Linked DNA regions of Drosophila melanogaster. The protein of the gene in region 2 purifies or fractionates together with the protein of the main gene of each other region. This does not show direct contact. Each region holds a gene or a part of one and is shown on either strand. Other genes may lie near its edges. The genes, in order: par-1 and pod1.

What was found.
Region 1: the proteins of pod1 (region 2) and par-1 purify together in Drosophila melanogaster (affinity purification with western blotting, with the first as the bait; one study listed by BioGRID). This does not show direct contact.

Annotation. Positions count from the first base shown.
Region 1 is NT_033778.4:19,465,266-19,470,494, reverse strand, and holds the start of par-1 (par-1), read right to left. Parts: upstream 3,030-5,229; 5' UTR 2,854-3,029; exon of another isoform or gene 2,682-2,853; intron 1,706-2,681; 5' UTR 1,525-1,705; coding exon 157-1,524; intron 1-156.
Region 2 is NC_004354.4:6,801,759-6,806,718, reverse strand, and holds the start of pod1 (pod1 coronin), read right to left. Parts: upstream 3,036-4,960; 5' UTR 2,953-3,035; intron 2,624-2,952; exon of another isoform or gene 2,542-2,623; intron 1,735-2,541; exon of another isoform or gene 1,713-1,734; intron 1,592-1,712; exon of another isoform or gene 1,470-1,591; intron 1,335-1,469; exon of another isoform or gene 1,244-1,334; intron 1,042-1,243; 5' UTR 810-1,041; coding exon 501-809; intron 102-500; coding exon 1-101.

The DNA.
Region 1 (5,229 bases), on a different chromosome or scaffold from region 2:
TGATTTATGACCCTTTAAAAACCGCATTGCTAACGATTAATAGTTATATTAAATGCGATTTTAAACCACAGTGGTATTGCTTTCTCTGAACCAAATGATGAAAATTATATTGAAATATGGTAGATAAAAATGGATTTTGGTTTTTATCCCGTTTACCTGCGCAGCATTGTTGCTGTACACATTGCTGCGGTTTGCCACCACGCTGGGTACGCGGCTAGTGGGATGATGTCCTACAGGCGGGTGAGTTGAGGCTGTTCCTGACCTCGACTCGTGTCCCGAATGGGATCTTGGATCAACGCTGTGTCTGGTCGAGCTGGTCACATGCTCTGCTCGACTGGAATTGTACGGAGGAATAGGAGCCACAATCGGCCGGTCCGAACGTCTTTTCGAACTGGCTGCATTACTTCCTGTTCCCGAGGCACCAGATGCTCCATGACGATGTGAGGATTTTTGGGCCAACAAAGCTTCAAATTGTCGCAAATTCTCCTCACGCCGCTTAGACGCTGAAATGGTAGTGGCCGTAAGCTTAGATGGAGCCACTCCATCCACCACGCTGCTGCTGCTACCGCCACGACTGGCCGAGCCGGAGGTGGACGTGGTGGAGGAGGAGCTCCTGGCCGCCGGAGTGGGTCCAGTGCCAGCTGGTCGCCATACCGCTGGCTGTTTCTCGTCCTGCAAGTGCTGCTTCTGCTTAAAAGTGGCCCTCATGGCCAGCACCGTATCATTATTCTTCGTATCGGAGGCAGTACGTGCCAGTTTAGCCTTCACAGCATTTGCTCCGTTTGCGGCAGCAGCCGAGTTCTTGGAATAGGCTCCGATCGAGTTACGACCATCGCTGCCGCGCTGGAATTCCGATAACATCAGCTCATTGCTGTCATCCAGTTCTCCTGCCCGCCTGCCGCCCAAATACTGAAAATCATTCTCGGAGGACATGTCACTAATGCCCGGTCGCAGAAGGTTTTCCGTTTCACCGTAGCGCTTGCTCTGCTTGCGCTTGATCTCCAGTTTCATCACGTCCATCGATGATTGGGATTGTTGGTTTTGCTGCTGTTGCTTAAAGCTCTCCTCCACGTTATGGATGTGCTTCTCGATGGAGCCGAGGGCAAAGGACACACCGGCATCGTCTTCGGTGGACAGAAGGCGTGGCATTGGCGGCTTTTGGCGTTCTTTGGGCGTGGGATGCGGCTGTAGGGTGGGTAGAGCCGATACGGCTATCCTGGGCAATGGAGTGGCTTGGGCATCACGTCGTCGAAGCTCCACTATGCTGTCGTCTTCGGTGGCTCCATCGAGATCCTTGTTGGCAAGATGTGTTTGACGCAGTTCCATTTCCTTTTCCGTTTCCGGCAAGTTACTGCTGCTATTGTTGTTGTTGCTGCTGTGGTTGCTGTTCTGGTTACTAGATGGCGCCACACTGAGCTTGGGCGGCGCAGGTGCCGCCCCCTTGCGGGCGGCATACAGCCGGACACTCTTCCTGGTGGCATCGCCGCGATTCAAGTCAGGTGTTGTGGTAGTGGTGGCCTCCATAGCTCCTCCGTTTTGCTGCTGATTTCGGTTTTTCTGTTTTTTTTCTCTTAAATTTTTTTGTCGTGGCACTCTTCCCTTGAGTGTGTTGGTGCACAAGTACTTGTTGCTCGGAGAGATCGCAACTTTTTCTTTTTTCTTATTTCTTTTTCAAGTTGCGCTTGGCGTGTTTATTGTTCTTACACTGTGAGTTTGGGGAAAATTATTAAATTGGTCTTGGGGCTTCGGAAGTACAATGCAGCTCACACCGACAGGAGTAAGTGCTTGTGTGTGCGTTCGTTTGCATTGGGCTTTCTAAATTCTCAACGTTACTTTTGTTTGTTTTTTGTCGTCTAACCAACACACAACAAGTCGCAGTTGTTGCGCATTAAAACCTCGAAAATGAATTAAACACACAGCTAGCAACTTCCATTTCTACGTATGTACATATGTATGTACAGATGGGCGGACGGGAAGCGTGTGTGCGTGATATTTACGACAACAGGCGGACAAGAGCTAATCTGTCTCCCCGGTGACACTGAAATAAACACACGGCAGGCGATGTGGGGATGTGAAAGGGAGGGCAATATACCTAAACACACAATTACATACATAGCAAAAGAGAGTGCGCGAGAGAGAAAAGCGAAGTGGCACCTACACACCTGTGGTGGAGGTGAGCTCTTGTGCGTGTGTTTGTTTTCGGTCTCTCTCTAAATTGCTCTCTCCTATTTCTACTGCTGTTGCACAAGCTCAGCTGAGATGCCCTCGCTCTCTCTCGTGTGTGTGTCACGCTTTTCCTGTCCCCACCCCCACCCTCCTCTCCCACGCTCTCTTTTCAGTTTTATGATTCATTTGCCTTTTCGCTATTTTCCTTTGTTGCTTTTAATTACTGTCTAAATAGTTACGATGTGGAGATCTACAAGTATCTGAACAATTCGTCCGTACGAGTCGTTTAGTTGCTGGCTGGTTATATTCCATTTTTATTCGTCGCTGCTTCAGTGAGCAAAGCGAAAAGCTCCAATGCACACACACAGACACACACATGCACGGTCGCACCAACACATTGAAGCAAATGAACTACTTTTAGACAATTGAGCCGACTTTTTCACTGCTGAAAAACACAGTTAGGCTATATACATTGGTCGTTTGATAGTGTGTGAGTATTTTCTTTCTTTTTTTTTCACTTGGTCTGTGGACTATAAAAAATCACATTTCGCGCAAATCCCGATTATTAAAAGGTTCGTTTCGTTGGCCGGAGGAGTTCTTTAACCACACACGGTTATCTTATCGCAGAGGCACGCGGCTTTCGCAATTTTTCGCACTCATTTTACGTGGGGGTTTGGGTATTCGTACTAAATTATAGCTCCTCCTCTGCAACTCTGACGTAAACGTCGTCGACAGGCTACGACTACAACTATACGATTTACACCAACAAAAAACAGCAAAACACAGAAGACACCGAAAAACAAAGCTAAACAGGGCTCAGCAGCCAAAGAGCCACTTGGCCACTCAGCAACTGGAACTGGAGTGCCGGAGAGCGAGAGCGCGGAGTATTCCAAAAGCACGGAATCGCTTCGAGCAGCGACGTCGACTGCGGCAGCGGCGTCGGCCTTAATACACCAACACACCAGCACAAGCACACGATCAGTGGGCAGCTCTCTCCACTGGTGGAGCACTACTACCATTAATACAGTATCTCTATCCGTATCTGCATCTGTGTACTTGTTCTCCCACAAAGAGAAGCCCCGTTTGGAGCTCGAAAGTTTTGAGAGTGTATGAGTGTGCGAGTACCACTGAGCGTAACGCTGGGAAAGAAACTGTTAGCCGTGTTTGCTGCAGGGTTTAGTGTTCTGCGCATGTGCGCAATATATAAGTTCCACCAAGTTACGCAAAGCGCTTCTTCCCTGATTTACTGCGATTAAAGTAACATTCGGTTGGACTTTGGTTTTCTATTAAAATCAATCAATTACCCAATAAGTTCAACTGCTTCCTTTAAAGTTAATCAGTTGATTAGGTGATGCATTACGTAAGAGTTCTAAGTAATAAAACCAAAAGGACATGATGTCTGAAGTCTGAGTCGGAATTCTACGGTCGTCGCGAAGATTTCACTAATCAACTTCCCCCGTTCCCCTGTTTTACTCTATATCAATCACCAGAATACAAAGACCGAGGAATACACACAGTTTGGTACTAAAAATGCAATCCCGAAAGAACATTATTATGAACATCTTGTCGTCAAATAATTGTAAGTCATTTGTCAGCCGACACAATAAAATTTGTGAATAAAATATATAGAGACACGAGTGATACGACATAAACGAAACACATTAGGTATACTTAAAAATAAATAATCTGGAAAATAGAGAAACTCTCATTTTAAGATATCAAAAAGTGTCTCATATGAAATTCGATCATTCTGTCAATTTGTAACTCGCCAAGTTTGGTTTTAATTTATTCATACGAGGTATCAAGTAGCTGAGCCTGTATAAAGTGTCCGTATTAATTAAGCTAATTGAATAACTTGCAGCTTAATCTACATTAAGACAAGACAGCGAGATTTCAGTCAAGCCTTTCAGGTCCCAAACAAAAACATTAAAGATAGAATTTCATTTTTCGCATGCTAGCTAACAGGAAAATCTAATGAGGTCAACTATTATGAACTTGTCCTCCGGACAATGCAATCGTATAGTTATAGAAACAGAGAGCCCGTAATCCCTATAATCCCCTAATCTTTAAACGTATTTGCGTTGGGTTTTTATGTAGCACTTGTGCGATTAGACTGAAAATATATATTAGTTTCCATATGGATTATAGGAATTCAATGTGGGGTAACAAAAATCTGAAATTAAACAAAATCCGTAATCAAAATAATAGAAATCGTTATTCATTCGATTGTGGAAAAAAAACCAAAAACCGTGACAGATACAGACAAAAACGAAACAGCGATTACGATTAGATTGAATGAAGGTGGCAGCACAACAACGATAAATTTGCAATGTTCATAAATGAATGGGGAAGTGTGAGAGACCGACAAACTTTAATCACAACAAATATAACCTTATTGCCCCACTCTTTTGAAATGAAGTAGCAAGGTCAAGTGTAGTTTTGCTCAAGAGCCTAGGAAAGTTTCTAAATCACATAATTGCCAATATCGCAAGCTCCCAATATAAATCCTCCTATATCTTCTATTATATTAATTATGCAATAGTATCTAACGGGTTACCGTTACCGTCGATGGATTTCGATAAAATGTAAGCAACCATCGATAATATCGATAAATTTATATCCAATATTACATACCCTCGAGTTGCGAGCCTTGTCACTGGATGATGCCGACTCCTTGGCCTTGGGCCTTTCCGCCTTACTGGTGGCCACAATGGGCAAGCCGCCGTTTTCGATCATTGTCACCACAATCTTATTGTTCCGACTGCTTACGGTGCCACCACCACCACCGCTTGCGTAGGATGAGTTCGCCGCCGCAGCTGAGGCTGCATTTGTGGCCGCTAGATTCTTCTGCCGCAGGGCGTTCGATAGCCGTTGCTTGCGTTCCGCTCGGGCCTCCTCCTTTTCCCGCTGCAACTTGGCAATAGTGGCGGGCGTGTGGCTCTTGGAGCGCTTTAGAAATCTCATCAGTTGGCTCTTAACATTGGTGGCGGCACTTCCATTTCCCTGGCTTGTGGCATCGCCTATTTCCTCTGCCCTGCTGGATCTTCGGGATATTTGAGCCTT
Region 2 (4,960 bases):
AAGCCCACTGTCTCTACGCGTCTCTGCTTGTGTGAGAAGATTGCCTCCGGATCGGAAAGCGACTGCTCCAGACCTTTTTCCGGTATGTGCCAGATCTTGACCTGTGGATTGCAATGGTAGTGATTGATTAGCAGGGGGACTTTGTGTCATGTTGACTATCTAATTTGTGACTAATGTGATAGCGTTGCGATGAAATTATGGTTTCTGGTGAGTTATTAATATTAATAATAGCATATTATTGATTGTTCGTTCTTATCACACTCATAAACTCATTATAACATGCAACTATTTTATCTGTAGCTTCTGGTAAATAAACATTTAATGTTTGAGAAACGGAAAATACATTTTTATTAAATTAATAATATTGCAAAAATAAAACAAGAAAAAAAATATATTCTGAGTAACTCTATGGACATATCATTGGAAAGTAATGACCTAACACATAATATATTTTTGAAACATTTAGGGGTACTCCCAAATAATATTAAAGGATCTCTTACCAGGCAATCCTGCGAGGCGGTGGCCAGCAGCCCGTCGTGGAACGGGGAGAACTTAAGGTCCGTCACTGTGTCCGTGTGTCCATGGAGCAGCGGCATGGTCTTGCTCTTCCGGCCGCAGTCGTCCAGCGGGAGGACAGCGACGCTGGACCCGGTGTGCTCCCAGTTGAAGGCCATGAAGGCGCCGGAGGCGGCGATGTTGTTACCGTACGTCTGGTAGCTGCCCACGCAGATCTCGCGGACGCATGCCTCCGCCTTGGGCACAATGGGTGCGGCATTTTTGTACTTGGAAGCCTTGAATCGCCAGGCCATGGTTGGCTACTTGGTTGAGCTGGGAGGGCTTCGATCCGATGTGATGGCGATCCGATGCGGATGTGGATATGGATATGGACGTTCTCTGCTCGAGTGTAGAGAGTCGATTGTGGATTGTATATGCCCGATGCTTGATGCCTGATGGTCGAGTGTCACTAGTCCGGTGGCTCCCTCTCAGTCGCTCTCTTGCGCTTCGCTCTCCGCTCCGCTGCTCCGTTTCAGAGTTTCGTTTCTGGAAAATGGCAAAATAGCCGCATAAGTACGAGTATGATATCACTTGGGTGCGCGGGGGACATTCCACAGTTTGTTATCGTCTTGCCCGCCGCTCCTGACTCATCGTCATCCAAATCCGATAGGGCAAACAATAGCCGATAACCGAATATAAATAATAATACATTTAGCAAGTATGGATGGGGAAAAAAAGAGAGATGCACTTGCTATTGCGGCGATACGTCTATTGAAAAGAGAAAGCTGGACAAGAATGGTGTCCACCAAAGCCGGATGAGCCAGCCAGCCAACCCGACCAACACTCGCGCATTTGGCGTACGTGTTTGTTTGAGTATGTATGCGAATGTTTGTTTGTACATCATCAGGAAAGGCGAGGAAAAACACTGGGCAAAATATGATGAGTTCCGGCCGGTGGGGGTTAATTTGGCACACCTAAGGGTTAGTGATCCTCTTTTCAGCGTTATTTCTTCACTTTCTGTCAAGCTAAACATATATTTACTTAAATTTGCACTAATTTCTAATGTGTAATTTGCAAATATGAAGTACGTGTATGAACAACTGCTGAAAATGGCAACACAAACAGTATGATCCGAGCGGCGGTAAGGGTTAATATGCCACACCTAAGGGTTAACGATCCTTTTGATAAATTTCATGGAGAGTTTCACACACACATACCCTTGTACAAACACAACCAACTGGCTTGCAGTTTATGGATAAGCACAGTGAGCACTCTGTAAACTAAACATCACAGTGCAATGGCATCAATGAGCCTTTGGATCAAACAAATAAAATATTAGTTTGCGCAAAAATATATATTTTTCTACGTCTTTAGTTAGTTATTACTTTATTTTTATACTCTACTCTCTGGAGGCCGCACTGTGTAGTCTCCCGAGTGCAGTAAGCAAACGTCGAGAGAGCGAGAGCGGGAGGGAGAGAGCATGCGCCAATTCAACTGTTTCTGTTTGTTAGAAAGCGGCAAAACAAATGACCACTGGGGGTAAAAGGAGGTGCGGCTGGGGGACGGCCAAGCAGGTATTGGCCAGCGGAGCCACCAGGTAATGGGGTCAAGTGATTTAGAAAAGCAAAATCAAAGGCAATATAACGAGGTGATGTTGCAAAGTGAGAGCGAGACGGGCACAGGTGCAACCTGCAGGAGAGCTCAGCGGCTAACGGTTAACGGATGACAGCGGGCGGCGTGGGAGAGCACGAGCATCTGCATCCCTATCTCTCTCTTTCGCTTGGTTGGGGGTGGCTAGAAACAAGCCGGCTAGCATTTTTGTTGTTTTCACCCACTGCCCACTAAACACACACACACACATTTGCACTTCTGGTGGTTGGTTTTTGGTCACTTTGTTGTTCTTGTTGTTGCTGCTTATATGCATTTATTGACATTTTCACAAGTTTTCCATCCTATATTTTGCATACATTGCATTTGATTATTGGTTGTTACTTTCTAGTTTGCGTGCCATTCAATGAAAAGAGGGGTGAATTTATTTTTATATACTTCTTTTTTCGCTTTTCCTTCGTTTCCTTTTCCTTATTTTTTGCAGCACACACCCTGGCGCCGGCAGAAGAAGAAGAGGAAGAATCCAAAGCGGCGGCAATGACAATGACAACTACAAATGCAACAACAAAGGGTGCGCGCGGGGGTGGAGTGGGGAGCAGTAGCCGGAGAGGGGGTGGTGCAACTACACCAACAAAAACTGCGCAAAGGCGACGCCGCTTCTTTTTTTATGGGCAAACAAAGGAGCAGTTTTGCACACACACACACTCAGACGCACACTTGAGTTGCAGTGCTGCAACTGCACACCCACGCAAACATACACACGGGAGGAAAAACACGGCGATTAGGCTCACACACACGCGCCGGTGATTATTCTCCCGCTTGTAATTACAAATATTGCAATTAAATTACCAATGCAATCAATAAACTACGCGAGAGATCTTCAACTTTTTTTCAAACGTTTTGTCATCGTCTATCGATAGTTTCCATCTCCGCGTGCTAGAGGTGGCACCCATACATCGCCACAGCGCTATCGACAGAGCTATCGATTGCGATCTAATCGTCACTTTCTTCGTCACTATTTTCACATTGTTTGGGAAGCATTTTAGCAGCACTGCGCGACGGTCACCGCATTTTGTTGTTGTGTTGCGCGTTTAAAATTGTATTGTTATTTTTTATATTTTCTTTTTTTTGGACCGAATGAGAGCCGGCCAAAAGTGCAGTGCGAGTGCGATTGAATTTAAGTGAATACAAAGTGCGGATCGCAACACAACTTTATAAATATATGTACATATATGTGTAGTTAGAGCGAGACGGGGCGAAATATCAAATAAAAATACTGTACTGTGTGTGTGAGCAAATACTAATACTACTCAAGCGGAGAACGATGAAAATGTGCGTGTGAGAGGAAAAGAGAATTTAGTGTTTTTTATATTATTTACTGGCCTGCGGCTATGAGCAAAAAGAACCGAATATCATTGCGGAAAAAGGAGAATGAAAATTGCCAAGAGGGAAATCTGTGAATCCTGGCGGAAACACACGGCCTCATCATGAATATACTGCAGAAAATCGGTCAGTATTTCGCTCTTAAGCGCTCTCTTCGTTTTTTTTTTGGCGACTCCTTGGCTTTTCCTTCCAATTTCCACACAGTTTACCGTTTGCATTCGCCTCCATCGTTTACACACATTCCTCCGCCTCCGCCTCCGTCTCTGCCCTTCACCATCCTCTTGATCCTATTGCCACTATCCCTGTACTGCTCACAAAACCCGCGCCCCTTTATCCAGCAACGCCCCCGCCTTTCATTGTTGTTGTTCGTGTTGTTGCTGCTGCTGCTGCTCGTTTTGGGAGCTGTCAACAAGTCTATTTTTAGACTTTTAGATGCTGCAGTTGCATTTGCCTCTCTTCCAGAAGTGTTAAACATTGAAAGAACAACTCCAGAAGCGAACGCAAACATTTTCGTTTTCCTTTCCATTTCCTCTTCCTATTTTCATTTCGTCCCTCGCACCTCCGCTGCGCTCCCACACACACGAACACACACTCTCGTCTTTTTTTTCCTCTAAAATTCTTCCTAAATTTATATGGTTTGAAACCTGGATAAAAAGGCTGTCATCCTAATTGGAATTTATCCTCTTGTCGTCTTTACTCCATTTGTATAAACCATAGAATTTCACTCTGCATCCCATATGGAAGGAAGCTCCTTGAATATTTCCCGGAACTCTCCGATTGCATTTGACCTTTGTTTATCTGTAGAATTTTGTTTAATTAAATCATTCCGAAAATCCTTATTGACTAGAGTTTTTGAGGCACATCACTCATATACATATGTACATATATATATTTAAATCGCATTAAACATTTCTCGGAAATCCTGAACCGAATTTGGCCTCTGCAAACGTTATCCCTAACATTTTCCGCACAATTTGTGGGGCTTAGCAGAAAAGTAGGCAAGGATTTTACACAACGTTTTACTAGATTAAAAAAATCGAAATATTTTTCTTTTAACTAATAATATCCTACGCTTTAAAACCATATTAGTAAGTAAGTTCATATCCCCTCTCGATGAAAGGAAATTGGGCAAATGTGCGGTTTCCATGGAAATACGCTCTGCTGACTATATTTATGCACTTTCTGCCCACATATGAGAAGCACTAATTTTTGATTTAACTCTAATCACACACACACACATTACTTAATACCTGCGAATGGTTGTTTTCGTGTGGTATTTGGTATTTGATTTACCATTTTCTGTCTATTATTATCCTGTTGATTCCGACTAAACGCCAAGGATTTTGATTACCTGGAAAATGCACTTGCTCTAGGAACAAGAGTTTAGAACGCTGCGAAAGTGGGTGGTTAGAGGAATTGTGTGAAAATGCATATTAATCCTTTGCCCCGCTGACCCCATTGTCCACCCTCGTTT